2 linked regions of the Astyanax mexicanus genome follow. The protein of the gene in region 1 purifies or fractionates together with the protein of each later gene. This does not show direct contact. Links are inferred from orthologs where the notes say so. Each region holds a gene or a part of one and is shown on either strand. Other genes may lie near its edges. The genes, in order: rbm17 and calcium homeostasis endoplasmic reticulum protein.

Evidence for each region.
Region 2: the proteins of rbm17 (region 1) and calcium homeostasis endoplasmic reticulum protein purify together in Homo sapiens (co-immunoprecipitation; 4 studies listed by BioGRID and IntAct, counting the BioPlex papers as one, with this or other methods). This does not show direct contact. The link is inferred for Astyanax mexicanus from reciprocal best matches to the Homo sapiens genes RBM17 and CHERP.

The regions. Positions count from the first base shown.
Region 1 is NC_064409.1:20,772,288-20,788,866, forward strand, and holds the start of rbm17 (splicing factor 45), read left to right. Parts: upstream 1-9,659; 5' UTR 9,660-9,785; intron 9,786-11,182; 5' UTR 11,183-11,190; coding exon 11,191-11,313; intron 11,314-11,441; coding exon 11,442-11,552; intron 11,553-11,976; coding exon 11,977-12,140; intron 12,141-12,540; coding exon 12,541-12,650; intron 12,651-13,141; coding exon 13,142-13,192; intron 13,193-13,787; coding exon 13,788-13,914; intron 13,915-16,108; coding exon 16,109-16,260; intron 16,261-16,579. Other genes in the region: il15ra (interleukin-15 receptor subunit alpha), read right to left, coding at 6,344-6,497. UniProt on the Homo sapiens protein: Splice factor that binds to the single-stranded 3'AG at the exon/intron border and promotes its utilization in the second catalytic step. Involved in the regulation of alternative splicing and the utilization of cryptic splice sites.
Region 2 is NC_064423.1:27,376,472-27,392,939, forward strand, and holds the start of calcium homeostasis endoplasmic reticulum protein, read left to right. Parts: upstream 1-8,352; 5' UTR 8,353-8,490; coding exon 8,491-8,515; intron 8,516-9,870; coding exon 9,871-10,044; intron 10,045-10,398; coding exon 10,399-10,434; intron 10,435-11,179; coding exon 11,180-11,349; intron 11,350-12,446; coding exon 12,447-12,584; intron 12,585-12,679; coding exon 12,680-12,831; intron 12,832-12,922; coding exon 12,923-13,034; intron 13,035-13,309; coding exon 13,310-13,399; intron 13,400-13,685; coding exon 13,686-13,902; intron 13,903-14,674; coding exon 14,675-14,823; intron 14,824-15,363; coding exon 15,364-15,850; intron 15,851-15,941; coding exon 15,942-16,180; intron 16,181-16,468. Other genes in the region: zinc finger protein 615, read right to left, coding at 4,284-4,900, 5,608-5,701, 6,308-6,369, 7,378-7,648. UniProt on the Homo sapiens protein: Involved in calcium homeostasis, growth and proliferation.

The sequences.
Region 1 (16,579 bases):
TAATAAAATATACCAGTTCTGCCTAAACCCCTTAAAAATGCTAAAGCAAAGATGCAAATATAAAGAGAATTTAGATATTTTAATTAAAATTTTACTTAATAGCCTATAAATTATTTGTTTTAGGCTAATAAAAGTATATCAAACTATAAATAAATTGGTCAAGGGTTGTCAGAGATATACAGTATTATTATATATACAGATATACAGTCTCATATATATATATATAGTGTTAATTTAGATACTGAAATGATATGGTTTTGACCAAAAAATACATTCATCCAGCACTAACCTGTAGCATGAAAGCCAATTAATATTTAGTACACCAGTGCAAATAGTCTAGAGTCTGTAACTGCAAAAAAAAACAAAAAAAAAAAACAATATTGTGCAGCACTAATTATATGCATGCATAACTATGTCCACTTGCCCAAACTTACCCTTTCAGCTCTAAAGTTCTAGGACAGTTCAGCCTGTGGCTGTACATGGTAACGCTTTAATAATGTTATATTATTATTTTAGGTCAATATCACCCACCCCTATCCACTAGCACATCTCCCAATAGCTATTACCAAACACAAGAAGAAGCCACCTGAAAAGTCAATATGTCATTGAGTAACATGCTGAATATGTGCTAAGCAAACACAGCTGGTTTATATTGTCTAGCAGACTTAGTGATTCATGACCTAGAATTATTAACTGTGTCCATAAAAAAACAATTACCCGTGGTGCTCTGCATTTAGCTGGCTGCAGAACAAATTTCACAACACTGAGCTCAGATCCAGCCAATAAATATCAACCATTCCAAACTGGGGTTGAGCCTATATTCCCAAACTGACCTGACCTACATAAGGCACTCTCAGGGTAGGCCCATCGCAAACTCTTGAGCAGCAGATCCTTTCAGAATCAGAGAAAGAGTATTAATAATAATAATGCCTGGCTTACACTACACGATTAAAAAAATCTTAACTGATGTTAAATATGTGAGATATTCCACACAATAGGATCAGATGACAGAAAAGGTATTGCTATTCTTTCTTCTCAAAAATGATCCAAGAAATAGAAAGAGAGGGATATGGATAAAATTCATGGATAAAAGCGTCCACTAGAGGTGAATACATACAAACATACATACATAGCTATGTACACTGCAGACACTACAATACAATATAGCTAAAGTTTAACAAAAGTTTAAACACACCTTCTCTTTTTCAAGGAGTTTTTTTATTTTATTTTCATGACTATTTACATAGTAGATTCTCACTGAAGGCATCAAAACTATGAATGAACACATGTGGAGTTATGTATGTAACAAAAAAAAGGTGAAATAACAACAAAAAACTAAATTATATTCTAGTTTCTTCAAAACAGCCACCCTTTTCTCTGATTACTGCTTTGCACACTCTTGGCATCATTCTCTCAATGAGCTTCAAGAAGTAGTCACCTGAAATGGTTTTCCAACAGCCTTGAAGGAAGGAGTTCCCAGAGGTGTTTATTAGCACTTGTTGGCACCTTTGCCTTCACTCTGCGGTCCAACTCACCCCAAACCATCTGGATTGGGTTCAGGTCCGGTGACTGTGGAGGCCAGGTCATTTTTTGTGAAGTACATAAAACTCCACATTGTTCATTCATAGTTTTGATGCCGTCAGTGAGAATCTACAATGTAAACAGTCATGAAAATAAAGAAACCGCATTGAATGAAAAGGTGTTTCCAAACTTTTGGCCTGTACTGTATATATATACACACACACACACACACACACACACAATATATTGGCAAAGGTATTCCCTCAGCCATACAAATCACAGAACTCAGGTTTTAACTACTTCCATGGTCACAGGTGTAAAAAAACAAGTATGTAGGAAGCAGACTGCTTAAACAAACACTAGAGGTACACTACTAGACTTACACTATTAAATATTCCACAGTGAACTGTCAGCGCTATTATAACATAGGGGAAGTGACTGGGAACAAAAACAACTATGCAAAGGCCCATAGTGCACACAGGTCAACACATTTCTGCAGTCAATCAAGTGCTAAAAACTTCACATGGCCTTCAGATTAGTTTATGAACAGTAGAACACTGAAAACTTCATGGATTGGGTTTCCAAGGCTGTGCAGCTCCATACAGGTCATACATCTCCAAACACAATGCTGGCTGTGAATACTTTTGGCAAAATAGTGTAGTGTATTTTCCTACTCTTAAATGTAAAAATTTTAAAGTGTTGTTAATCTATTCTAATGAGGGCAGTTGTGTTGGTTTAACAGGTCTTCCTTTGTTTTGTCTGTGGATCATTATTTTGGGCTCCAGTTTTTTTCCTGTGTTCCTTCTTTTTTATCTAAGCAAAACACTACAGGAAGCCACTTCTCTTTGCCATTAAAAATATTTGTGTATGTGAGGAACCACCAGACAGTGTACCTTTTCAGTAAAAGCTGCAGGGTAGAAGCGATTCAACAGTGTTGAATTAGAATGTTGTTCCTTATACAAATATGCAGATCCCAAATTCCTGTGTGGCTTCATGGTTAATTAGTAATTGCACCACACTAAACGAAGTGTATATATGCAGTCGTGTGAAAACTCTTCATGATTCCTATTTTTTAAGTAATTCAAATATTTGTAAAAGATAATACAAGTAAACCAAAAAAATGTTGACTTTTAATTTGTTTTTTAAGTTTTTATTATTAAGGAATAAAAAAAATCCAAAACTACATGGCACTGTGTGAAAAGTGTTTGCCCCTTAAAACTAACTAAAACTAAAATTGGTTGGTCCACCCTTAGCAGCAACAACTGCATTTGCAGTAATGTGCAATGCGTCTTTTAGAGCACTGTGGAAGAATGTTGGCCCACTCATCTTTACAGAAAATAGAATTTAACCACATTGGAGGGTTTTCGAGTATGAACCGCATTTTAAGGTCATGCCACATCATCTCAATAGGATTCAGGTCAGGACTTTGATTAGGCCACTCCAAAGTATTTGCTTTGTTTTTTCTTTAGCCATCCAGAGGTGGTGTGTCCTGCTGGTGTGTTTTAGATCATTGTCCTGCTGCAGAACCCAAGCTTATTTTAGCTTGAGGTGACAAACAGAGGGACGGACATTCTGCTTCATTATTTTTTGGTAGGGGGTGGAATTTATTGTTTCATTCATCACAGCAAGTCTGCCAGGTCTTGAAGCAGCAAAGCAGCCCCAGACCATCACACTACCACCATCATGTTTTACTGTTTTGTATGATGTTCTTTTTCTAAAATGCACTAGATGTAATGCAACCTTCCAAGAAGTTCAACTTTTTTGTTTTGTCAGTCCACAGAGTATTTTCCCAATATTCTTGTGAATCATCAAGATGTTTCCTGGCACAATTAAGACAAGCCTTGATGTTTTTCGGCTAAGTTATTTTGATCTTGGCATTCTGACATGCAGGCCATTTTTGCCTAGTCTCTTTCTTATGATGGAGTCATTAATGTTGACCTTAACTGAGGCAAGTGAGGCCTGCAGTTCTGTGCATGTTGTTGGAGTTTTTTTGTGACCTCTTGGTTGCAGTGCTCTTGGGGTAACTGAAACTGCAAAAACTAGAGAAATTGCATTTTGTGTTTACTTGTTTTGTCTTTGACTAATATTTAAATTTATTTAATGATCTGAAACATTTATAAGGGGGCAAACATGCAAAAAAAAAAAAAGAAAATCATGAAGGGGCAAACACTTAAATTGTATGCAAATGATGTAAAACTATATATTTTTTCCTTGTTAAGTTAAAAGGCCCATATTATATCTCTTTTTACACAACCTAGAATAGCTCTATGGGGTCTCCATATGTTTTTTTTATATACATTTGCATATGCTTTCTTATAGTGTGCAGAATAATATCAGTTTCAGTTTCAAATAATTGAAACAGCTCACCAAAACCTCAACCTATCCTTTGTATTTGACAATATTTGATTAACTTTACAGGTCCCCACTCACCTGAATTTATTTAACTAAACTGAGTTTAGTTGATATTATTTTTAGCCTCGCGCCGAATTCAGCTCCGCGCTGCGGGAGGGAGGGAGGGAGGGTAGAGAGAGAGAAAGCGCAGCACAGCGAGGCATGGCGCATTTTGCCTGATTTCTCTTGATTAAATATCAATAAATATGTGAATTTAATACCTCTTAATACCATATATTTTACATCACTTGATAGGACCTTATTTATTAAAATGTTTTTTTTTTCTTTTATCGCAATGCCGCGCGGGCATTCCTTATGACTGACGCTAAACTGTTTGATCCAGCTGTTATATTATATTATGTTATATTAATACCATTTTAACATTTTTCGTTTCTATGTTTTGAAATTCGTTAGATTATATTTTGGTCAACATTTTGGGTTTATTTTCGTTTGTTATTTTTCTAATAATAATAGAAATTAAATAATTTATTTTATTTTGTACATTTTTTAAGGGGCGAGTAACAAAATTATGTGCATGTTTCTGAAAAAAAAAAAAAATTGGGCGTGGCCGATGATATAGTCCATCGGCACAACCCTATTGCATAGTAACAAACCTTTTCGCTTTTGGTATTATGGGATAGTGTTTGAAAAATTTTGAGTGAAAAAGAAATTGAATTCATTTTGTGTATGGGATTAGTGTGGGGTGTGTATTGTCTTTGTTTGTGTTGTCACTATTGTAAGTTGCTTTGGACAAAAGCGTATGCCAAATGTAACGTAATGTAATGTTTGCATTATTTATATGTTGTGTCATAATTTGATATTTTTATTTTAAGAAAAACATAGACGCTCTAAACTCCCTGAAACTCTTGCCCCAGTTCGACTTACTAAAGTCTCACACTCCATGCTTGTTTATTGTTTCTTCTGAAATCAAGGGTATTAAAATAGTATTTATACTGTTTTTGTAGGAGTAACAATCTCTACTGTCCAGGGTAAAAGGCTTTCTGCTAGATTTTTATTCAACGCATTGCTGTTAGGATTATATTGCAATTTCTGACAAGAGCAAAAATGAGTGAGCTCAGGATGTTAAAGGATCACCACCCCACCTACATTCCCAAGTCCTCTTAAAAGCATTGGAAGAAGCCCCATCATTCCACAGAACAGTTCCACTGCTCCACAGCTTCAATATCTTAAATAGCTTCATCTACCAAGCCATATATAGGAATAAACAGAGATTAAATATTACCAGAATAGCCAAAGGACGTTGAATCAGTGCAGTAAAACAGCGCAGATCTCCGACGTCAGAGTAGATTTATTTGTGCACATTGATTTTACTGTTATTCAACACTGATTCAAATGTCATGGTTTTATATGTATGGTTTGTATTAAACTTTACTTACATGAAATACATACATGTTGTTTTTCCATCATCAACATTAAAAGATGTAATGCATCCAACAAATAACATTTAATATTCTCTGCTATCAGGGGAATGTAGGAGAGCCAAAACCACTCAAACCATTTAAATAAACGTTGATTCAATGTCAGATTGCAAAACTAACCAGTGAATATTAGGCCATGTTAAATAAAGTTGTTTTCCCCTCATCAACACTAGAAGATACAATAACTCAATGCAACTTAAAATGATGTTTAAATCAATGTTCTTTGCTACCACAAGAGTGTAGAAGAGCCTCACTAAAATCCCTAAAAACCTTTTAATAAAAGTTTATTCAATGGCATAATTTGAACACTAACTGGAGCCTATTAGGAAATGCTAATAAATGTGCTTTTTTCCCCCCCCATCACCATCAAGAAAATATGTAATACATCTAAATAATAAAGTTTATTTATGTTCTTTGCTATCATCAGAGTGTAGAAGAGCTCAGCCCAACCACTTAAAACCTTTAAATGAACGTTGATTCAATGTCAGACTTGCAAAACTAACCAGTGAATATTAGGCCATGTTAAATAAAGTTGTTTTCCCCTCATCAACACTAGGAGATACATGAACTCAATGCAACTTAAAATGATGTTTAATCAATGTTCTTTGCTACAACAAGAGTGTAGAAGAGCCCCACTAAAATCCCTAAAAACCTTTTAATAAAAGTTTATTCAATGGCATAATCTAAACACTAACTGGTGCCTATTAGGAAATGCTAAATGTGCCCCACCATCAATACAAGGTGTAATACATCCAAATAATAAAGGTTATTTATGTTCTTTGCTATCACCAGAGTGTAGAAGAGCTCAGCCCAACCACTTTAAACCTTTAAATGAACGTTGATTCAATGTCATATTCGCAACACAAACTAATGAATATATTAGGTAATGTTAAACAAAGGTTGGATAAGAGTTGTTTTTCAATCAACAACATTCAAAGTTGTAATGCAAAAAAAAACGTTTATTTAATGTTCTTGGCTATCAGGGTACTCACCGTTTACCCCGAAGATGTGGAGGGGGTACTCAGCCGCGGTGAAGATGAAGGTGAGGAGGAGGAGAGATGATGCCCGCATGTCCAGAAATACCAACACTGGGTCTGCCTGCCGGTGATTTACACATATTTTAGGAAATACACAGACTCCAGTCATCTGAAGCACGGCCTGTGACTACGACAGCTTCCTTTCCGTTCAGCAAAATAACATAAGTAGCCCGGTTTCACTTTCACTTAAACACACACACACACACACACACACACACACACACACACACACACACACTGCGCACACAAACACTGAGCACACACCGCAGAGCGTCCCAACACTTCGCGTGGGCTGGGGGTATAAATAACGCCGTGGGTCACAGTGGATCAGGGTAGCATATGGCGGTGCTGTACCGAGCTGTGTTCCTCAGGCAAAATTATATTTTCCACAGAGCTCCTTCAGTCCAGACCGGAGACGTCCCAGTCACTGATCCACCAACATCAGCGGGAAAGAGTAAAGTACACTATACACTGTACTTGTAACTTGTAACACTGTACTTGTACACTAACCTGCTGCTGGAGGTTACTTCACCATATGACTTCTCCACTGAACTAAGCTCCGCCCACTGGGGCTTCAACCCAATAACCAACCAACGCCACGCTAGTTTATATATATATATATATATATATATATATATATATATATATATATATATATATATATATATATATATATATATATTTAAATATCCTTACATGTTCAGAAAGTGCGGTTTGTGCATGTAGCAAATATACTGAATTTATACATAAACCTTGTGTAACAATATGTTAAAAATAAAATTGCTTTTAACAAAAACTTATAAACTTGTAAACTTTGATCTCATTTACCAATATATTTGAGATTTTTTGTGTTAGCATGACTCCCTTTCAATTATGGCTACTACCATTAGCATTACTACCACAGTGTTAGCATTACTACCACGCTTTTATCATCGCTAGCATCACTACCACAATGGGCACTATTTGCTGCGTAAAAAAAAAAAAATAATAATAATAATAATATACGTATATATATATATATATATATATATATATATATATATATATATATATATATATATATATATATATATATTATTTTTTTTTTATTTTTTTATTATTATATATATATTATATATATATATATATATATATATATATATATATGTATATATATATTCGTATATATACATTACATTTAATGTTATTTTAATTTTCTTCCCCGGATGCAAAATTATAAAAATTGAGAATAAAGTAAAGGTTGTCTTTTTTCGTTTTCCAAAAAAAAAAAAAAAGATTATTATTATTATTATTATTATTATTATTATTATTATAAATAATATTTGTCGTAAAAAGCACTGTTCGAAATCATCCAAAGGTCCAGGACACTTGTTGACATGCTTATCTCTGTTAATAGGTAAAAGGTTTCAGGCACTCTGCCTGAATTGTTTCACTTTTATTTTCATTATACTACTTGTTTATTTTTTAAACCCTGCCTGGCGGCTCTGTTCTTCTCGGTAATAGAGTGATTTACTGTATATCAGATGGGAGGGTGAGCTAGGCGTGACAGACCTTTATTGTTTCGGTTTGAGCCTCTACCACAGACATTCCCTGCTATCAATAAAGAAAAGGTTTTAAAAAATGTTATTGACATTGCTAATATTGTAAAGATTTGATTTATTATATTGTTATTTTCTGAATTTATATGGACAAACGTGTATGTCATCTAAACTAATCATTACAATTTATACTGTGTTTTTGAAAATCATTCGAGCATTGCCAAATAAACTATTGTAATACTTTATTATATAAGTATTTCCTTACACCCCTATTTGGTAGCCAAAATATTTCAATACACTAACAAAAAAGATCAAATCAAGTATGCGTATTCATGATATGCATCTATTTATGTTATGTATTAACATAGTCTAAGTTTAAATTTTACAAAAAAAAAGACATTTTGCCATTTCAAAAGGGGGCGTTTCTGTAGAACGACCCTTTTACATTGACTTTTATTTAAAGTTAGAAAGATTTCTCTACAGCTATATGACCCCATATTACCCGGATTGTTTAGGACAGGGCTATTAGAGGGATTTGGTAGCAATGGCTCCACCTTGTGATCGTCTTTAAAACACAAGCTCTGCTTAATTCTGCTTAAATCTACTTAAAATGACAGTACTTTTGGACTATTTAGCATATGTTATAAGACTTCAGACTACACAGAAATTATTATTGTCCTGCTTGATCACTTAATATTTTCATTTTTTGTCCTTTTATGGATGTGTCCATCTTGTTATGGCAAGCTGTACTATAGAGTGGACAATTACAGGGTGGAACATTTTAATGATTTTTTGACATTGTGTTTATGGGCTTATTATGGAGTAACATCTGGCTGTTATATTGCGTTCTTTAGAAACACAAGCCTCATATTAATAAACTACACAGAGATATATAGTAAATTCACAGCATCCAGCAGACTGTGCGGTTTAATGCCAATTTGGTCTGACTGACTAAAATTGACTGAAGGAAAGGCTGTTTTCTTACAGGTGGACAAAACCTGTGCTAAGACTTTTCTGCCCAGAGTTGTTGGGAAATCTGACTTATTATGGTTCCATCACCTGGCACAGACAGATAATAAGTCATTATTCTGACATAAGTCGTTATTTTGAGATAATAATTATTTTGACATTCTAAGGGGTTATTTAAAGATTATTTTTGCTGACTTAATATCTCAAAACAATGATTTAGCATTTTAAAATAATGACTTAGTTTCTTAAAATAATGGCTTAGTATTTTAGTTTTTTGCACAGTTAAAATAAATTTAAAAATCTGGATTTCACCTGGCAGTGTCTATACAGTATCCTTGTGGCAAACCTTCACTCCATAACTGTTCAAGTCTACACTACCACACCACACATAGTATCTTAATGACTTAGTATCTCAAAATAATGACTTTGTATCTTAAAATAATGGCACAGCATCGCAAAATAATGACATAGTGTCTCAAAATAATGATGTAGTTTCTTAAAATAATGACATTATCCCAAAATAATGACTAAGTATCTCAAAATAATGACTTAGTATCTTAGAACAATGACTTAGTATCTCAAATTAATGACTTATTATATCAAAATAATGTCTTAGTATCTCAGAGTAATGAGATAATATCTCAGAATAATGAGATATCAGTTTATAGTAGTAATGCTAGGTGCTGGGTTTGTGGTTGTGATAGGTGGGAGTGTGGACTGTGTTGTTGGATGATGCTGAGCTTCTGTGATTCTCACACTAGAGGGCAGCACTTCGTTTGGCCACTTTTGATGACGTCATTAGAAGCGACGAGGAGACGGCGCGTTAGCATGCTGTGCTAAATGTGGTGGAATATTGAGGTTTCTCGCTCCCGTTTGGAATTTAATCACAGGTATTTACTAAAAGATGGTCTAAAGTGCTTTTTAAACCATCAATACTATCAGTGCGTGGTAGGGTATTTTAGCTGTGGTCACAGTTAGCGCTGGGGCTGGCGTGGGAAATGGTAGCTAGCCAACCTGGCTAATGAAGCTTAGCCTGTGTTTTGTGTGTGCTTTTTGTGTTTAGAGACATTTCAGGCACATTTTATTTTTTGTTACATAGCATATGATCAGTTGAGATCATTTTAAGCTGTATAACACCTCAAACCTCTGCTAAAACCAGCCTGAATGTGTTTAGAAGACAAATAGCCAAACTGCATCGTTTTGTTGGGTCTATTCTGTGCACCAGTACTGTGGTTTTACAGTGGAGTTGGTGCACAAACTGATAACTGCATCGAATTCTATTTTCTGGATGCCTAAACTATGTGAATGTGCTTTAGAATTAACTTTGGTCTAATTTTAAGAGAGTAAAAAAATAACAAAATCGTCCAACCAAAATAAACCATTAACAACACACTGTTGTACAGTAGAGTAGCATACAATCAACTGTATCAGTGCCAAACTAATACCATTACATATATGGAATATTTCTGTCTGTCTGTCTCACTCTCTTCAAGTCTCTCTCTCTCTCTCTCTCTCTCTCTGTTTGTCTGTGTCTGTCTCTCTTTCTCTCTCCCTTTCTGTCTCTGTCTCTCCTTCTGCTTCTTTGTGTTTTTGCTCTCTCTCTCTCTCTCTCTCTCTCTCTCTCTCTCTCTCTCTCTCTCTCTCAGTCTCTCTTTGTCTCTCTGTGTGTCTCTCTATCTCTCTGTCTCGTTATTTCTCTGTCTGTTTCTTTCTCTGTCTGTCTCTGTGTCTCTTTCTATCTCTCTCTGTCTCTCTGTGTGCCTGTCTCTGTGTCTCTTTCTCTGTCTTTCTGTCTGTGTGTCTCTCTCTCTTTCTTTCTCTTTCTCTGATATTACAGCACTGATTAATTAGTATATACCGGTATACCTTCATCCACCTCAAAGCTTATCAGTTTCCTTAAAAATAGATTTCTGCTGGGATTTTCTTGTCAGCAGGACAAGAAGAGAAGTGTGTGCAAATTTAATAAGCACCAGAACAGGCTTTTTGTTACACACAGCTTCAGCATAAACTACAAGTACTCAGACATTAACTTTTATTTAAAAAATATGAACCTTTTAACAACTGTAGTGATCATTAACCAGTTTTGGTAATAACCAATTTTCCAAATCACTATTGGCAAAGCAGACAAGAACCAGTGCTTCCCTAATAAAAAAACAAGTTAATGAGTTCTTGTTCTTGTTTCATGAGTTATATCTGCAGGTAATGAAAGTAATGCAAACTGTTGATGTGTGGAAAATAAAATGAAACAAGTGTAACATTCTCTACATTCATTGTGTTGTGTGATCAGGTGAACCAATGTCTCTTTACGATGATTTGGGGGTCGCTACCAGTGACGCCAAGACTGAAGGATGGTCGAAGAACTTCAAACTGCTTCAGTCGCAGCTGAAAGTGAAAAAAGCTGCTCTGACACAAGCAAAGGTTTGCATTCTGTTTTTATAACATTAAACTGCAGATGTTCTGTGTTGTCTGTATTATGTAGTACCATTATATCTTTACTTAAACCTGAAATTGGCCTGGAAATAGATCTTTGTTTTCCCCCTTCGCAGACGCAGAGGATGAGACAATCCACTGTTTTGGCTCCAGTTGTTGATCTCAAGAGAGGAAGTGACGAGCGGCAGATTCCAGACACACCCCCACATGTAGCAGCAGGGCTGAAGGTGAGTGAAGAAAGCTGGAACAGTGTTCTCTGTATTGATGGAGGTCTGTCCAATACTTTTAGATGAGATAAGTTAGGGATTAAAATAATAATAATAATAATAATAAGAAGAAAATTATTGTAGAAATAATGTAGAATTTTTTTTCAAGATACTGAAGTAAATGCTATTTAGTATATGCATAAATATTGCAAAAATACAGAATATACTCTTAATGTTTCCCAAAAAATAATTATAGTATTTACATGATATAGAATTTAAAATCACAATGTTACTGCCACAATATATTGGGCATGGTATGGTATGGCTCACCACTATTATACAGTATGATACATTCTTTTGCAAATCTTAAGGCATTATAAGAACTGTTTAGTTGGGTAGCTTCTTTATAGCAGCTATTTTAAGTTTATATTTTTGTGTGTGACAGGACGTACCAGGTGGCTTTTCTGCAGGTGATGTCCTAATCCCGCTCCCGGATGAGTATGATCCCATGTTCCCAAATGACTATGAGAAAGTGGTGAAAAGACACAGGGAGGAACGTCAGAGGCAGAGGGAACAGGAGCGGCAGAAGGAGATCGAAGAGAGAGAGAAGTATGCACATTCCACACGTACCCTGTCTGTACACCAATGCCCTGCTGGTCCTGTTCACCTGGGTTTAGTTTTTTTTTTTTTTATGCTTTTTCAATAGACAGTGTGATTTGGTGTATTTATGATATGTTTGAGAAATTTATGAGTATTTTACCTCTTCAGTAACGCAGATGCCGTGAGGTGTTCAAGAGAATTGTCTTGTGATATATCAGATATCACGGAACCACAGTATTGGGATATCATTGTTATTGTGGTAATTGTAATTGTTTCGTGTGATGGCCTGAAATTCCTACTCCTATTACTATATTAGCCACTCTTTAAAGCCTCTTTAAAGAAATATTGTGCTGGTCATTTCGTACTGCCTGGTTTGAGTTTCAGTTGCCTCTCTTGTTTGTCGAAATAGGAAGCGAAAGGAGCGTCATGAAGGATCGGCCCCCAGTGGTTTCTCACGTTTCCCCACAGAGGCAGATTCAGATGAGGATGAGGAGTATGAGAAAGAGAAGAGGAAGAGGAGTGGGTGTCTTCTCAAACTATAACAAATTTTTTTTTTTCCTGTTCCTTTTATTTTCCCCCTGTTTTTAACATATTTTACATTGAAGTGCCACATATCATGGGACCAGAACTAGTATTGTGTTCTACCATTCACAAGTTTGGACACACCTTTTCATGGAGTTTCTGGAGGTGCTGAACAATAGCTGCTGCTTTTCGTTCCAGCTCATCCCAAATCACCATCTCAGTTAATCGGGTTTAGATCAGCGGATTGTGGAGGACGAACACTTTTTTTTTTTTACTGTTTATTACATAATGTATAATGTGTTCTTTTATTGTTTTCATGCCTTTAATGTTATTCCACAATGTAGAAAATATTTAAATAAGGAAGTAAAAAAAACAATAATGAGAAGGTGTGTCCAAACTATTGATTGATTCTGTATATAAGTGCTGAAATGATAACTTGATGCAAAATGATCTGTACATCTTTCTGACTCTTTTTGTTTGACACATAGGTATGGGTGGTGCTGCTATTGCCCCTCCAACGTCTTTAGTGGAAAGGGACAGTAAGTACATATTTTTATTCATGTATGTTTTTTCTTTTAATTTTGCCATACTGATTTGTTTTTGTCTATTAAAATTCAAAATTACATTCTAGCGCCGTCTAACTGGGTGTACACTGTATCTAACATCACCTACTCTTTCCAGTTCAGTCGCCATACATTTACATTTACAGTTGTGGCGCTAATCAAATGAATAGGGTAAACCTGCAGTGAGGAAAAGTAGTTTCTGTGAAACTGACACCAATAAATCCATGATTCCTGGTATTTGCTTATTTACGAGTATTTTATCTTCTTCAGTAACACAAGTGCCATAAAATATTGTAGAGATTCTTTGCATAATTGTGTTTTTTTCACATTCTTACAGTTTAATTGTATAATACTTTTGTGAAACAAACTACTGTACAACTTTTGAAGTGCTGTTAACAGTTTAACAATTATTTTATTTGAATTTCCCATTACCTCTGTAGTTTCCTGTAGACCACGTAGTTCAGGCTTGTCTCCACTATGCTGTGCTGATGTATCATTTGAATTTAACTGCATTTGAATGATGGTTTGGATAGTTTGGTCATGTTTGGTGTTTCCTGTGTTTTAACTCCAGCATCCTACTCATATGATGAGGAGGGTCGTCAGAGATCTAAAGCAGCAATCCCGCCCCCTGTTTATGACGACTCAGAGAGACCCCGCTCTCCGCCAGGACCCACCAGCTCCTTCCTGGCTAACATGGGGTGAGTGTGAATACAGAACACTGTTAATTCAGCTTATTTATTGTAGTATTTTTTTTATTTTATACATCACAAGCAGTTTTAGAGGTACATGTAAGGAATTGATGACCAAAAGAATCATTTAAAAACTAATTGCAGTGTTATTTCCATTTTAAAGTGATACAAATGGGATGAAGAATAAGTGATGGGATTATTTTATGTACCAAAACCCACCATAATTCATTTTGTACGACGACAGATTATTATGTCCATCTCAGGATGCAACAAATTAAAAGTTTTGGATAAAAGATTTGGCTGAATTGCAAATATGTTTCTTGCTGATTTAAATTTTTTAGGTTGCCATGTTTTCAGCATTACATTACATTAATTTAACATATTTTTTGTCCTGATTTAAACCACAATTTAAAAATATTTATTTAATACCTAACCTTTTTAACTTCATCAAATGTTCTTAAGTTTTTTTTTTTTTTAATTAAAAAAAATTCTGGTCACTGAATATTCTGTGCATATCTATATTAATCAGACTTTATTTTATAGAAATTATAAAATGATGCAGTTAAATAAGCTTTGCTGTCATTAAGGCTACAGCTAATGACTGTTTTAGTAGTCGACTAATCTGATAAATAATTTTTTATGGAGGCTTCCATCCAATGCATGATTTACTGAATCTTAACAGCTTAACCTTTTAGGGCCCTAGATAGATTATGCAGCACATTGGAATAGTTGACATAGCAATATAAAATTACAAAGCGTATTATAGGAGACACTCCCACATGCAGAAGGTTATTTTCAGAAAATTCTACTTTAAAGTATTTAATTGAGAAGGCACTATATGTGGGATTTAACTCTGAGAATATGATTCAATGTACAATGAGCTGATATACAGTGAGTATAGGTGTTGTCTTATCTGGTGTCTTTAGACATTTTTAGAGACCTGGAGTAGGAGACACATGTTTGAGCCCATTAACCTTCCCACGAGGTGTAGTCCACACCATCACGCATTAATGATGTGTCGACAACGAAATTCTGTGCCATCAAATTTTTAAAGTCAATGTTCTCAGTTATGTCGAGTACTCGTTGCAGCCCTACTGTCATTGGTTGCACTGTATTGTGCCCGATTTAAAACATGGTTTGAGTTAAAATTGTTTTTTATAACTTCAAATGAATGGACGTTGTGCTAAGCTACTGTATGCACATAGTCAGATATATGTACTTTTGTTTGCTTTTATAATTGTGTGTTTGTGTGTGTGTGCTTCTCTTAAAAGTCCACTGGAAAATCTTAAGGTTTTGCAAACTTCAAATCAGACTTTAACTTGTATGACATGTTAGAATATTTTCCAAGGTGAAAATTCACTCAGGTATAATATAACCTGAAATTATTTTTACGGGTTGTTTTTTATAGAACTCTGAGGTACCCCTCCTTGCCATCCCGTGTAAAATAAATCTTGTCTGAGTGGTACCCTCTTCTCTATATTTGAATTAAGTGTGCGGACTAGGGGTTTCATATTGTATAGTATGCAACAATATTGCATAGTAAATGTGCGATTAAAAACACTTATAATACATTGCTTTTACTTTTTTTGTTACACTTTTGTTACTCTATTGTTATTTTAGACAAAATCAGAATCTTGTTTAGGTTTTTTTTGTCTACCAACGCATTTTCTATTGTATTGCAGTAGAATATTCCTGAAAAAAAAATCACCTTATCATACCACCATATTGTTATCGCACAAATACCCTGAAATATAGTGATATGGGCCATATCACCCTCATCTAGTACTGAAGAATATTTGTTTTGCCCTTTAAAATGTGAGAAAATAAGCATGCCTGCTTGATGGTATCCATAACAATGTTTTTTTTATTATTACTAAATTATTATTATTATTATTGTTATTATTATAATTTCCGTTGTTGTTGTTGTCAAGCCACATCACATTTACTCACATCAGTGCTTCCTTGTTACATATTACAGACTGCGCTTTTTATACGTGATGCAGATGGATTCTGAGATGATTCTTTAGTCAGTGAGGGTCAGGGCAACATCTTATGCTTGACCTTTTTGGTGTAACTGTGGGTATTTTCCAACAAGGAACATTGATATGATTGTTAATGGGCACATTGTATGATGTCATGTCAGGTAAAAACCAGTGGTAATCATCTGTGTGTAATCATTTGTGTGTGTGTATGTGTGTTTTAGGGGGACGGTGGCTCATAAGATCATGCAGAAGTATGGGTTCCGTGAGGGTCAGGGTCTGGGAAAGCATGAGCAGGGTTTGAGCACGGCTCTGTCGGTGGAGAAGACCAGCAAACGTGGCGGGAAAATCATCATCGGAGACTCAACGGAAAAGAGTGAGCTCACACACACACACTCACCACATTAAACAACACATACACACTCATACTTCCCAAGGCACGTTTTTCACGTACGGGAAAATCCCTGTAAAGTTGAGGTAAAGTCACTAATCAGTACAGTTTTTAAGAAGTCTTACAAAATACACATTAGATAATTTTAATGATTAATATGCATTTTTATTTTACTGTTATTATTCTGATCCAATATCAGTATAATGACAAAATTTATTTGATGTGCACAATTCTGCTGTTCCACAGCTCAGTCCTATAATAGTTTATTATAATTTTAAGATATCCTTTTTTTTTTTTGCAGATT
Region 2 (16,468 bases), on another chromosome or scaffold:
GACTGGTGGAGCTCCATCCGTTAACTATAGAACAGCTGAGTAAGAGTAGCAGATCTGATCATCCAACATCAGTACCTGACCTCACTGATGCTCTTGTGAGACTAGACACTGAGACTGTCTTCCTCATAGCAATGTTCCATGATCTGCTGTAAAGATATGACAGAGGAAAAGATGCTGTTACTATGGTAAAATAAGACAAAATTCTTATTATTACCCTCAATTTTAAAAGAACTGCTAAAATAGGTATTTACAAAACATTTGGTCATATTTTATGCACTAAAACATACAATATAAAAACTTTACACTGACATGCCAAAAGTCATGGGACAGCAGAATGTAATTTGATTCTGATGTGTTGGGAAAAGCTTGGAAACCTGAATGGGATTGAACACTGTCCACTGTTGCCAGATGAATGGGATCGATTACAATATTTCCAAAACTGTTTAGGGATTTAACATTCCTCTTGATCCACAGTGTCATGTGTGTACAAGGAATATGTCATGTTGTAAGAGGCATTACCACCAATGGTGGACAGTGCAGTGGGTGGCAATGATCATGGCCAGTGGTGTCTGGCTAGGAATGTCCATGTGTGCCAGAAATCACATCTGCATTCAGTACAGCAGGCCCCACACACATCCCACAGGTTTAGAGCATCCCTTAGTTTTTTTTAGTGGGACATGGCAAAAGTCATGGGACACAATACTACTTCCTGTCGTATGACATTTGGCACATCAATATATTGTGGGGTGAAGGGCTAAATCATAATTTAAAAAGTCTAAGGAACCTTTACTTGATGCTCATGCCTTCTTACTTATTTAAAGCTTCTTCACACTTTTACATCTCTTAATGGAATCTAGATTGGTTCTATGGCATTGTTTTAAAGACTGTGAAGCGCACTTATTGTTAATAGTATGAGATGGAACATACTCTGCTGATGGAACTCTACAGAAGGCCTAAGTAACAGGCCCAACAGCAAGAGATACTCATTTCACTTTTTTAGTTTTTATTTGTTTCCAAATGATCCACGCTCTCCTTCTCTACACCACAGCTGGTGATGAACAGAAACTACCGTGGCGTAGCTGGGAAAAATCCCTGCTGTCTGATCATGGAGATTAGTAGAGCGAAAATTGAGGAGGGGTGGTGGTGGTAATAGTTTACTTCATGAGTCACTCTTGAATCCCCCACAGACTGCTTGTATTCATTAAGAACAATTACATCTCTAACGACTAATTAATTGCGTAATCTATTATTTGGCTCCGTTCTTTGTGGCCTCCGATGGGGCCCAGGCTGGAGTTAACAGGCTGATTGGGATGATGCGTTCCGCAGGGCGGATAATAAGGGAAAGGAGCGGAATTAATTGGGTTTGATTAAGAGAGCTTTTCAATGGGACAGAGCTCTTTCGCATGACATAAGTGGAGGTCAGCGAAGGAGAGGGTGGTGGAGGTGCTGGATTTGTGGGCTGGCGCCAGTTTTTTTTTTTGTGCCCGCATTTTTTTTGCCTTCTCTTGTAAACAGCAGACCTAGATTATATTAAAATGACCACATCTTCAAGATCCAGCATCAGCTAAATTAAAGGGCCACCATCCTGAATTTATTTCATTATTTAACCAGAAGGGTGCACTAATGATGAAGTTTTACAGGCCTATTTAATTGTTAGAAACTGTAAAATTAGCATTCTGATCCTAATGAAAATGTTTGGCTGAAACCAAACAAAATTAAACATTTGCCCAAATGCAGAATACCCAACACAGGTTGCAGGTTTGCATTACTTTGCCACATTTATCAGACTTGGATAAATTAAATAGTTAAATGTATTTTTTGTTTTGCAGATGTACCTCCTTTAACACTCAGGAGAACAATCAAAAAGTGCCTCACTCCATGCTAGTTGAGATTAATCACATTAAAAAAGTCATCATTTTGTATAAATTATTTGGTCTTTTCACTTATCAATAGGTTGGATAATGGTAGGAATGTCCTGAATATTCAGCAACTAATTTGTTCAGGAAAAAAGTACTAATAAAAAAGTACTAATAGACTAATAAATTCAATCTGCCCTGTGTTTCTTTAAAAATCAACCACTTTAAAACTCACCTTATAACATTATGCTTTGGCTGTAGGCCAAAAGGGCAGATCTATGTAAATAAGCTTTCAGTTGTTTTCATTTTATTGTCACCCTCCTAAAATAGTCAAGAAATAATAGCCTTTTTTCCTACATCATTTCCTCATGATGCTGATCACCTGTGGTAACCTACATCCTTACTTGATCAAACCATTTCATTCTGCACTTTTAGGATTAATGGCCTATGTATGTAATGCGTATAACTAACTAAATAAAAAATAAATCAAAATAAATTGTGACTTCACCAAAATAATTTTCACAACTCAGGGCTCGTTTAAAAATTAGAGATGAGATTTTTACTATAATATAAAGTTTACTTCTTATTAATAAAGGCTATAGGCTATAAATATTGCATAGTTGTTCAGTCTTATTATTGTGTTTTTTAGTCTGGATTTTTATTACATAAAGCTATCTTGAAATGCTCTACAGTTTCTGGCTGTTAAAATGTAAAACATTTGAATTAGGATTATTTCTGATTGGGCAAAAATTAACGAAGCAATTATTTTAAGAAGGTGCTGATCCACAGACTGTGTATCACATGTGAGTTTTACATTTTAAATTTAAATTTTAAAGCATGATGTGGGCCCTATAACTAAAAACACAAATGTATTTATGAATATATGTATATATACCTATATAACATACAGTACAATGTCCAAAAACTGCAGGCTAACATAAGAGGAAACTGCAGAATATCCCACAAGAATCAAACTGTAGATACAGTACAGTCAGTGAATGCAGCTGATCAGTGCAGGTGTGTTTATAATCTAGTTATACAGTAATCTGCAGGGAACAACACTGACCATCCACACACTCCCACCACCACCTAACACTAAAAATAGAAATACACTCTTACCTTTTATAAACTACAAGCCAGCAGGTATAACAAGATTACACCGGCTAAATCATTCACAAATATGAGGATCTGGAGGAGGGAAACCTGTTTGTGTTCTCTTCTCCTTTTTGATCCATACTGAGGAAGACAGCTGGTTTCCAAACCAGGGTTTTAGCTCCATCTAGAGGAGCAGACAGATAAACAAGTATCTCTGATCCACTACCCCCCCTTTTCATCTTAGCATCTGCGTTTATCCATCAGTTAATGCTTAAGCAAATTTTGTTTAATGGTACTTTGACATGGTACAGACATTCCAATCAATTTCCAAATGCAAACAAATACAAAAAAGTACAATTAGTATTTAAAAATATTCCTCTTGATTTGATATGCTATTGTTTTTAATACCATAGAATATCCACTTTTGGGTCCATTAAGAACACACTAAGCCCCCCCCCCCCCCCCCACCTCCCCAAAGTAAATGGTGAGAGAACTCACTGTATTATAAATTCACAACAGTTCATTTTTAAAAAAAGTTTTTATGCAGGTTCATGGAAAATATGTATTACAGATGCAACAAACATAAAATATATTTCAATATTTCACTTTTTATCACACTTACATTTGCATCTACTTGGCATAAAAAATAGATTTATCACATCTTCCTGTTACTGATAATAGTATTCTTGAATCAGATATTTTTATATATCCAGCATGGAAAGCGTCCCTTTGGGGCAAGTTGTAATACCATTTCTGCCACGCAGATGTTTAACAAATTCAATTCATTTAAATTTTATTTATAAAGCGTTTTTGTTTTTTTTTACAACAAATGTCATCAAACGAACAGTTCATGCTTGTTTTAGATTATGGTAAAATGAAGAAGCGTATTAGTAATTCCTGTTATTCAGTGACAATAGTTATATAACAATATAAACCAAAAATACCAAAATACATACTGGGAACCAGCAAAATCTGAACAGTAAGAATCAAATTTAACTTGCCTTGAAATTTAATCACCACTTTCAAAAATGTTTTGGATTCTCAGTTTTCACAACCAAGATACACAAGCCAGAAACATATTACATATCATTTACACATCTTTCTGCAGCAGAATTAGATTTGTATAGAAAACACTGAGATTCCAAAAACCTGGAATTGTAATGTAGACTCAGAAGTCATTCGATGAAGTTCATAAGAGCATTTTCAATCAACAGAGTAAGCACTGATTTGGAGAAGACATTGGACTTGTCTCATTTACCCTCACCAAGTCCCCCTTACCAGCTTCAAGTATGTAAGTTAGCATGCTCTCACTGTGTGATTAATACTCCAGTCCTAACCCATCACCTTGTGTATGGCTTTATGTCTGCGTAGAGCACTTGGGTCAGCAAATGACTTTGGGCAGAAGTTGCAGGCATACGGTTTCACCCCTCTGTGGATATTCTGGTGGAAATTCAGGGTTGCTTTTCGAGTGAAACTCTTCCCACACTGAAAGCATGTGTAGGGCCTCAGATCAGAATGTGTTTTAATGTGAACTCTCAGTCTTTTTTCTGACATCACTCTTTTTCCACAGATAGGACAAACACTCTTACATTGTGCCTGCCTATCATTATTGTGGGGAACAGCAGCAGTCACAGTTCCATCAATCTGTATGAAGGAACACTGTAAATCTCGTGTCCGTGGCAAAGACATTGGGTCATGCTGCAGCTGGTCTTTGTCTCTTTCCTCATCTTCCTCGTCTCTAGAAGACTGGGCATATGGTACATAATGAGTGTTTAGGTCCTCTATGTCTTCCTGCCCCTCCAGAGATAAAGAATTCTCCTCTTCTTCCTCCTCAAAGTCTTTAATGCTGCAGTCGTTCCAGTTGAGATGTGATCCGGATGCAGCGTTGTGCTTTAATTCAGTCTTGAGTTCAGGACTGAGGTCTGAAAGTTGATCGTTTATTTCTGCATCTGTAGAACAATAAAAGAAACACTTTACTGGAAATAAACATACTGAATATGTTTACTAGTACATTCTTAGCTGGTTCTTAATCCAAGACGTGACTATCAGTGCTTTAGCCTGTGAGGACATACCTCTAAGTCTCAAACACTGCCTGTGAGACTCACATATTATTGCCAAAATTCACAGCCTCACACCAAAAACTTCAAACATCAGTGTGTGGTTTTTAATTCAAATGAACAGACAAACTAGAGGGCAAAAGTGGCAGCATTTGTTCTAAAACATTAATATAGTATCTAGCAAATATACATCTATTAAAAATTCCCAAAAGAACAACCTTCTAACGTTGAGCAGGTCCCACTTGTGCAACCTTAACAGCACTGACCTATAGAAACATGGACTCCATAAGACCATTGAAGGTGATCTGTGATATCTGGCACCAAGACGTTAGCAGCAGATCCTTTAAGTCTTGAAAGCTGTGAGGTGGGGCCTCCCTAGGTTACATCAATGAGTCTTAGACACTCATGACCCTGATACTACTTTGGTTCACCAGTGGTCTTTCTTAGGAGCATTTTTTGGTTGGTACTGACAACTGCACACCAGGAACACCCCACAATCTGATGCCTGATGTTTTGGTGATGTTGTTTTTGTTATCAGATAATTCATGTTTTTAATCTTATGGCTTATTAGTGCATGTTTTTTTAATAAATGCCCTTACCATCATCCATGCTATCTTGCATGCACTGGTTTGTAACATACATCTCAGTCACCTCCACTTTAACTCCTGCTGATACAGCTCTCCGCTTCTGCAGCTTCAAAAACAAACAAATAAATGCAATATTTATTTAGTCACTGTTCTACTCAAGTGCTTACTGTATAAAACCATAAACATAAATGTACTCTTTTTAAACAAGAAAGTTATTAAATGTACGGTTTCATTTACTTTGTGATATTGCATGTCCTGCAATATGTTTATTTTGCATATGCACAATGCGTAAACATATACTGTGCAGTCCGAATTCATAATACTGTAAGAAAAAAAAAAAGAAAACTTATTCTTTAGGATTTACCAATATTTTACAAAACTAAGCATTACATATAAATATTTTTGCATTCCACACATGAAGTCCCCTGAATCCAATTACCACCACCACCACCGCAAACAAATCAGAGTCAGGCGTTTCTCAAAAAACAACCACAACTTTACACCTAAACCGACTCTGAATGTCAGTACACCTTAAATGAAAACTGCATAAAACATGTGCCTTATTATTCAGTAAGTGCACAAATCATTCACAACCTGCCCTGAAACAACATCATATAGACCAGTGTTTCCCAACCACTGACTTGGACCTGATTCGTATTGTGCCTACAAGCCCAGGGTTAAAACACACTGAAAGAGACCTTTAAAATCTTACCCGCTGACTACTTTTGACTGCTCCTGTATTAGTCTCCATATTGTTTGTCTTCTGTTTAGAATCTGAAAAGAGAAAAAGTCACGTTTGAGCTTTCCCCTTGAAAAGTTCAATTCTAAGAAGCAAAAGTATACATATTATGTAATTACATATACATATGTATTTAGAGATGTAGGCATCCCTCAATTGAATAAATTAGCATTCTCAATTACCTAATAGGGCTGTGTACTGGCAATACGATATTTATCATAATATCATAGTATCATAATATATGGGTAATCAAAAATTTTTTCTCTATGTATTTCTGTATGAATGTCATAACATGAAAAGCACATAATCAACTGCATAAAGTCAGATTATAAGAAAAGTTTTTTTTGCAATCAGAATATTGGGATCTTGAGGTGTGGCTGGGGGTTTAAAAACAACACTAAATAAACCATTCTCTGCCACGCATCTTTACATCTTAAACGATTTATAAAACAAATATCAGTAGTGCAAAACATAGCTGATATTGCAATACATACATACCTAACATTTAAAAAATGAAAACAACCTTTAAAAAATAAAATGTGCATGTACTGGAAAACAAGTATTTTTGTCTGTTTAAAGGCATATTTTGTTTTTATGTACATATTAAATATATTTTTCCCATTTGATGCCTCAAGACAACGATCTAAATTATTATGTTAGATCATTCTTTGCACATTTTTGTACTGATCTATCAACAAGGACAAGCTCCTCAAAATAGAAGTGAAACGGTTACTTCTTCATAAACAGTCCTGCTATAGAGGGTTACACTTAACAGAGGAAACAATTAACAATTACACTGAATAGAGGGCACAGATTTTTAAATCAAGGAAAAAGATTCATTTAATACATTAGGGGGATTATTTTGTTTTAGGGGGAATGGTTTGTCTTTTTAAAATTATATTTCTACATATATACATTTGGAAACGATGTGAAATACCGATAAATCACTATATATACACTGAAACACATTGTATTCCTAATTAAGCTGCAGCAGAGAAAAGTAAGAGAAGAACAGAGGCTGATTTCAGTCCTGCAGCACTGACCGTGTGATTTTCCAGCCACATCCTCTTCCGTTCTACAGTTTTTCTCTCTAGTTTTTAGCGGAGCCGCTTCTATCGGTTCTGAAATGTTCGGTTCTGATAGAAAACTCTGGAGCTGCCGCCTCAGCTCGTCGTTTTCAGACGTGCATCTCTCTATTTCCCTCTGTAGAGATGAGAAGACGCTGTCAGCCAGAGCGCAGATATCCACCGCCGCTGTTTTAAGCAGCATGTCCAGAATAGCGGTGAGCTGAACGTGGAAATATGTTTCTGCCATCGCGGTAAAATCTGCTGAAACCGGTCACTTCTGAACTCCGCTGAACTCGAGTCTAATCCTCCCGGTTCTCTTTGTTTTTGCTCTTTGAAAAATAATGGAGCAAGTCGCCACCAACTGGCGTGAGCGGAAGAGCCGGAGATCAGCGCGGTTTCCTCTTCAACTTAAAGGCTCATTACAGTCAGCTCGATCAGGGGGTTTCATACAGAGTCTGTCTTAAATTAAGATTAAATATACACTCATAATTAAAATAATGTTATTTTATAAATATTATATGTAAAGCAAAATAATAATAATAATCTGTAAATTATGCTCAGTGATATTTCCCAAAATTGCTTATATATATTTTTATATATATATATATATATATATATATATATATATATTTATTTTTACATTTTTACAAGGATGTTACACATTTGAGAGTGGACACTGTAGTAAGCTAATTTGAGTGAACTGGCTATATACATAAATTATAAAGAAGACTGATAAATCAAGAGAACAGCTTATTAAATCTCTACAATCAATTCAATCAATAAATATAATTTTGTACTCCTATTCCTCTGTTTTTATATTTAACAAAATCCATATTTCTTCATTCTCACTCCCCAGGGTTAATGTATACAGTATATTTTCACTGAACATAATGTAACTTTTAAAATATCCCAATTAAGTCGGGCATGTATTTTGAAATTCAGTCTAACGCGGCCGGAAATCAACTCGGCTCCTGGCGATGGTTTCACAGTGCAGAAAAATTATCTTTCCCTGAGCCGAGCTCTTTAAAGAGCTTTAATATCTCCATACTGAGCTGTAACTCACCGGATAAAGGTCTGGGTTTGATCATTATGGATATCCCAACTCCCCCAGAAGGTGAGATATGAGCAGTAGATCAACTGAGCTTAGCTAACAGCTACCCCGGTTAGCTATAGCCCAGGCTCTGAATGGCTCATGCTGCGGGTTAGCCGATTAGCCACTGTTCACTAAAGAAGAGCCCAGTTGTTTATAACGCGTTAATGGAGCGGTTTCAGGTTACATGTGTAACTGTGTATCAAAACGGCGTGCTTTACCTTCTTTCAGTTAGTCGTAGCTTCTGTTCGTATCTGAGGAGAGTGCACAGGATTAGATAGAGCTAAGCTAAGCTAGCTAATTGAGAGAAACACCATGGCCACTGCTCTTCTGATTAACTTAAACAACCAATGTTACAGAGCCCAGCTTAAGCTATGTATTCTCTCTTTCAGCCAAGAATTATGTATTTCTATCAGGTTATCTGTTGAATCAGAGTTGGTCAGTAAACCCTGGAATCAGTAATAAATGTATTCAGATGTAAACGTATACTTCTGTTCCTTTGCTGGTTGTGCTGTGTGTATCCAGTGCCTGAGAAAGCTAACAATTATTACTCTTTTCTTCACTATATTAATATTAATGACTCATAGCACTTGTTTTCAGAAATTAGACTTTCTGTCTAAACACATACTTTCAAACAAAAGTATAGTTTATTTGTTAACATAATAATGACAGGTAATACAAGTACCTTCCCAAAACAAATTCAGTAGAAGTAAATAGCTAAATACCTTAAGTGTGAATGTACTTGAGTAAATTCAAACGTACATCTGTTAAACATAAATCTGGCAAGTATATCTCTTCAAGACATTTGCCAGTCTTTCTTATTGTGCAATGTTTGTCTAAAATAAATGTTTAACATTACTCATAATGCTGCCAACATAACATAAATTAATAAAAAAATCACCCTTGTCATGAATATACTTGAGTAGAAGTAAAAGTCTAACATTTAAACCATTTAAAAATTCTAATTAATAAAATTGCCCGTATTGTATGTTGATATTTTACTGTATCCTGATACATATTCTTCTTCTATATACATACATAACCATATCACCCAGCAGCATCAGTACATGATTACAGTCACCACAAGCGGATGCTATACTATTCATATCAACTGAAATTAAGAAAAATATTTTGATATTAGTTTTGGACATATTGTTCAGCCCTAAGTACATGTAACAGATTTGTTACTACTCACGGTGATGCTGAACAATAAGTGCTTGTTTCCTAGACAAGAATTAAGTCTATCCAAAAGTAAAAGGAAGCTTTCTTAGCATGTACATTTTGACTCAGTAAACATTCAGTGATCATGGTAATAATTCACATATATAATGTGATTTCTGTCAACATTTTTTTGTGGTGTTTTGTTTTTGTTGTTCCAGATCAAGAGCTTCGCAATGTCATTGACAAGCTGGCGCAGTTTGTGGCCCGCAATGGGCCTGAGTTTGAAAAGATGACCATGGAGAAGCAGAAGGACAATCCGAAATTCTCCTTTCTCTTCGGAGGAGATTACTTTGGATACTACAAGTACAAGCTTGCAATTGAGCAACAGCAGCGTATGTACACTGAAACAGTTCTAACTGCTAGTGCAGCTTTGGGGAACTGGGGGGCAGAGTTTTGCACAGTTTGCTGATTGACTTGGCAATGAACTGATTAGTTAAATTGGTTATAAACTGTGCAGGAAACTGGCCCTCCAGGGCCATAAAGGGTTGTTAAATTAGTGTGTGTATTAGAAACTGAACTGAACTTGTTTGCTTACTAACCTAGCATTTAATGATGTAGCTTCAGAATTAAATGCTTAAAGAAATGTAAAATTCATATAGATTTATCCAGTCAAGTTTTCCCCCCAATGTGCAGGAATGTGCAAATATGCTTTGTTTTGTATCTAAGTCATCCTTTTTTCCTCATAGATCCAACCACTCACGATGATGAATATAAAATGGAAGGTATTTACTAGATTGACAATTGGACGCAATCTATATTTACTGTATAATATTCACACTTTGCCTGGTGTCATTGAGTATTTTTGCATCATCAGTGCTTAATGCCTTTTTCTCTTTATTTTATATTGAGCTTTGTCAGGCGTTTTGTCTTATGTTTTGTACAAGGTTGTGGGAAGGGAGCTTCAGTTGCTTGTGATGATAAAAAAAAAACAGCCTGCCCAGTAAATTCATTAGCATACAAACCCAAAACTGACTAAATAAAATGTTGGACAGATTTGTTTAGGCTCAGAATGGAAACATCTCATTGTTCTTTCCTTAGTTACTTGCTTGTTGTGTTATAATTTTTTTTTTTTTAATTCAGTTTGGTTGTATGACTTCAGTGTAGCCTCATACGTTCCACAGCTCAGTTCCCTCTTAAACAGTTTGTTCTAGTTTTTCATGGGCATTATTAAACACTGAAAAACAGGGCAAACAAAACCAGCATGTGTGAGTACGGTTGCATGCATGCTGTTAATAATATCTCAACTGGATGGCTTTGCTTTGAGAATGCCCATTAAACAAAGTCATTTACTCCTTACAGTTGTTCTTTCTAGTTTTTGATTTTGGATGTTGCCTCTGGTTGTTTCATGATGATGTGTATCTGTTTTTTTTCGAGTTTTTAAAAAATATATATTCTATCTTTTTGTGTTTGTTTGTTAAACTAATGAACTTAGTAGTTAGTACCATTAAAGAATAACTGTGCTTTCAGTTGCAGTGCATTGCAAACCACCTGGTAAAGAAGTCCCAGATGTTCCTCCACCAATGTCCTTGCTTCCACCTCCACCTATCCCCCCCAGTACACCTTCAGTGGAGGAGCTCATTCAGCAGAGCCAGTGGAACCTCCAGCAGCAGGAGCAGCACCTGAACAGCCTCAGACAGGTAACTCCTCCTACATTTTATCTGTTTTATTGGTCAGTTCAAACATACAGGTTGGGTTTATTGTAATTACTGTAATTACAGGCTGTAGTTCTTCTTCTTTATTATCGTCCTTTCATTCTGTCCTTCAATGGTGGGTCATTCATTCTCAGCACTGCAGTGACACTGGCATGGTGGTAGTATAATTAAATGGATCAAAGACAGCAGTGCTGCTGGAGTTTTTAGACACTCAACATCCACTCTATTAGACAGAAGCTCCTCTGTTGCACAGTTTGTGTTTTCATTCTCTAGTCCTTAATCAGCGGTCACAGGATGCTGCTCACAGGATGCTGCTCACAGGATGCTGCCCACAGGATGCTGCCCACAGGATGCTGCCCACAGGATGCTGCCCACAGGATGCTGCCCACAGGATGCTGCCCACAGGATGCTGCCCACAGGATTCTGCCCACAGGACACTGTTGGTGGATTACTCTAGTCCAGTAGTGTCACTGAAATGTTTTACAACTCTATCAACACCACTGTGTCAACATGCACAACACTCCACCATGCCAGTGTTACTGCAGTGCTGTGAATAATACACACCCCAAATAATAGCTGCTCTAAGGTGGTCCTGACTATTAAAAACAGCGGAATTATAAAGTTTACAGAGAAACACAGAAACTAGAGTCTGTGATTATAGATCAACAAACTGCCACTAATGCTCAGTGAATAATATTTCTTGTAGAAACAAGGAAATGGTCATAATGTTCTGCATATAATGTTAATAGAATTGGAATAACACAATTTATACTAATTCTAATCAAATGTAATGTGATTTGATGAAGTATGCACTAATTTTTACAAAACATAAAGGAAAAAGTATATGTTTAATACAATCTTCCCATAAAACATAAGAAATCGTATGTAAAAACATGTATTGTTACTGTTTATACTGTGATAGTCCTACAGTCACATTTATGTATTCAGAAAAAAAAAAATCTTTCTTTAAGCATTGCATTCCTCTAATTAAATGGGACTAAAAAAAAAGCAAGTTCTGCACAAATAAGTATAGAAGTCTGGAAGGTTCACATTCTGGACCACCTTTTTCTCTTTATCTGTAGGAGCAAGTAACTGCAGCTATTGGTTTGGCCATGGAGCAGCAGACTCAGAAACTGCTGGTGGAGACGCAGCTGGACATGACTGAGTTTGACGGCCTCCTCCAGCCAATCATCGACACCTGCACCAAGGATGCCATTTCGGTGAGCAGCAAATAGACCTCACTGTAGAAAGACTTGCTTGCCTTCAGCACCGTAACGTTTAATCTGAGAGATTCGCTGCTGTTCTCTTTTTTTAGGCTGGAAAGAACTGGATGTTCAACAACGCTAAATCCCCACAGCACTGCGAGCTGATGACCTCACACCTGCGCAACCGCATTACAGCAGAAACGGCACATTTCGAGCTCCGCCTACATCTCATCTATCTCATGAATGACGTCCTACACCACTGGTACACCACAGGACTTGGACATAAAAATGTAGTGGCATTGTTGTAGTGTATTCTAATCGTAGTATTGACTTGCGTTGTTATGGTTCCACAGCCAAAGGAAGAATCAGAGGGATCTGCTGGCCGCCCTGCAGAAGGTTGTGGTGCCTATCTATTGCACCAGCTTCCTGGCTGTGGAGGAAGACAAGCAGCAGAAAATCACACGGGTATGTTTGTTGAGCGACCCAAAGTATAAGCACATAGTTTATTAAAGGCATGCAAAATGTGTTAGCTGTATGTATATGCATCAGTCTGCCAGTGACTGTTAACAGAACGGAATCAATTTTGTTTACTAAAATAATACTCAAAAAAATGTAAAAAAAAATAAATAAAAATAAATAAATAAATAAAAAATAAAATACTTTTTCTAACATACAACATCTAACAGATATTAAAACAAGATATTTGTTATTTAAACATAATCTCTTTGTACTATTTCTAGTTGCTCCAGCTGTGGGAAAAGAACGGTTACTTTGATGATGTCACCATTCAGCAGCTCCAGAGTCCTGCGCTAGGCCTTGGACAGTATCAGGTACTGCAATCAGCAAAACTTACTGTACTAAAACTTATATTAGCCATATTACACAGTAATATGTAGCAGTAATGTTAGCAATTATTTGCAGTAATATTTTTGTTATGCATATATATATGTATGTGGGTTCATTTTATTTGTCATTTTATACTTGACTTGTAACCAAAAGCTACAAAGCTTGGAATCCATTTTTAATACCAGAGAATCATCACATATTTTTTATCCATGTGTATTAATGGTACCTAATTAACTAATTCTATATTTGTAACTAATCTGCAATCTCTAGGCGTCTCTAATCACGGAATATGCTGGAGTGGTGCAGCCCGTGCAGCTGGCCTTCCAGCAGCAGATCCAGGCTCTGAAGACACAGCACGAGGAGTTTGTGACCAACCTGAAGCAGCAGCAGAGCGTCGCTGCAGCAGCTGCAGCTGCTGCCGTCAGCCAGCTAGCTCCACCAGAGGCTGACGTTAAAGTGGCTCAGCCGCCAATGGCCCCTCAGTCTGGTGAGTAGATGCTGTTATATTTTACACAGTGATCAGCCATAATATTAAAACCACTGATCGGTGGTTAGTTGAATTATACTGATTATCTTATTACAACAACACCTGGTGAATAAAGTGGTGGGTTATACATAGGAGATTGCATTGGTAGAGTTCGTTAAGACCACAGCTTACAATTTTGTAAGTATTGTGGTAGGCCCCTGGGGTTAGGGGCGTGACCACTGTGACCCGGAAGGAGGAAGCACACAGGTAACACAGACACGGGGAGTAAATGAACTCAAACGTTCCTTTATTTAGGCTTTGAAATGCCCTCCACCACACCCAAAAACAAACTTAAATCATACTACTAGCCCAATGGGGCTCTAGAGTCTGTAGAATTGAACTTAATTCTCTGTTAGAGTCCGTGCAGCCTCAGCCCTCAGCTCCCCAGTGGAAGTCCTCTCAAATGAGGGCCGAGGCTGAGTATATATGCCTGTCCCAGCTGGCGGCTCAATCAGCCCTCATGCGGGCCAGCTGAGACAGGCATGGCTTTGCGCTCTGGCGTGGGGCAGACCCACAACTCCCCCGCCTCCTCACGCCACAGTATAAACAGCTCATATCTCAATAACAGATTTCACAGGACACCTTAAACGGTCTTGTGAAGTCCATACCTCAATGGTTTATGGCTGATCAGTTTATGTATTTAAAAAATAAATAAAAATAAATTAGTTAACTCTTTAGCTTATAAAACCAGAACGTAACCTGTAACTTCTGTGTCTCATTTTATTATTAACAGATGTAAAGCCTCCTATGGCTGGCCCTTCACCAGGTGACTATGATGGCGCTCCGACGAGACCAACAGACTCTAATTCATCCGCACCCCCGGACAAGCCTGGCTGGTTTGACCCTCAGCACAACATGCCATCCTGGAACCCACAGCAACCAGTGAGTGTCAGCCTCTGAATCAGTGGCTCCGAATCCTCTAATAATGAGCCCATCTTAAGTAGATGGTGGTTTGTTACAAGAAGAAACCACTAAAATGTGCGGCGCAGCGCACATAGAAACTAGGGGTGGGACATAATATTGATATTGTGATATATTGTTATATATTGTATTGATATATTATCAATACATGGCTCCATATATTAATATTTTTATTAAAACATAGGCAGTCTAAACGCCCTAAGACTCTCCCCCCAAGTTAATCTACAAATTCTGTGAAGCTGACACCAATAAATCCATAATTCTTGGTATTTGATTATTTAGGAGGATTTTATCATCTACTGTGAAATATCATAGAGAATTGCCATGCAAAATATCGAGCTTCACAGAATCCCAATACTGTTATATGATTGTAATCGTGTGCAATTTATTATGATTATATTGTATTATGAGATGACCTGTGATTCCAACCCCTCATAAAAAAACAGTCCTTTCAGTTTCACCTCACCATCCTGACATTTCTCATCCTGCTATTTCTCACAGCCACCATTTGACCCCAGTCAAGCGCCACCTCCTTGCCCACCCTGGAACAGCCACGAGGGGATGTGGAATGAGCAAAGGGATTCCAATTGGAATAGCCCTCGGGATGGGGGCCCTGGAGGACCCGGAGGTCCAGGAGGACCCGGAGGCCCTGGAGGTCCTGGCGGTCCTGGCGGCCCTTGGGGTGGTCAGAACGAGCCCCCTCCATCCTGGAGTGGACAGTTTGAACAACCACCCTGGAGCAACCAGCAAGACCAGCCTCCTTGGAGCCAACGGGAGCCCCCTTTTCGCATGCAGCGCCCACCACACTTCAGGGGACCCTTCCCACCCCACCAACAGCCACCCCCCTTCAACCAGCCACCACCACCCCACAACTTTAATCGTTTCCCGCCTCGCTTCATGCAAGACGACTTCCCACCTAGACACCACTTTGATCGCCCACCGTACCCACCACATCGCTTCGACTACCCGCAGGGGGATTTTCCAGGAGGTGAGGATGTGATTTTATTAATTAAGATTCAGGCACATTTTTTCTTCTTTGTATTTTTTATCATACATATGTTTGTATTTTCTCATTTTAGAAATGGGTCCTCCCCACCACCACCCGAACCAGAGAATCCCCCCACCAGCAATGTCCGAACATCCTCCATGGGGTAGTAACCAGCACCCTGATTTCGGTCCTCCACCCCACGGCTTTAACGGCCAGTCCCCACACATGAGACGCCAAACTCCCGCTCACGTGAACCAGGACGATCCTAGTCTGGTCCCCAATGTCCCGTATTTCGACTTGCCTGCAGGTCTCATGGCACCTCTGGTGAAAGTAAGCTCTCTGACCCTTTCCAGTGTTTCTGCAATACTTTCTGTGAAATTACTTGAGGATTAAAGCCAATACCAATAAGGTACCAATAAGGATGATATATTATATTTTCTGTTGTAATTCATAAAAGGATCAGGATGTATCATCAGATATTAAGGTAACATTGTGAGTTTAATCACTGGCAGCTGTTGTCAGCAGAGCTTCAGGCATTATGTTCTTAATTGAACTGTGTTATACGACACAGTGTAGATTTTATCCTCAGAGTGTCCTAGTTCCATGCTCAGGGTTGCC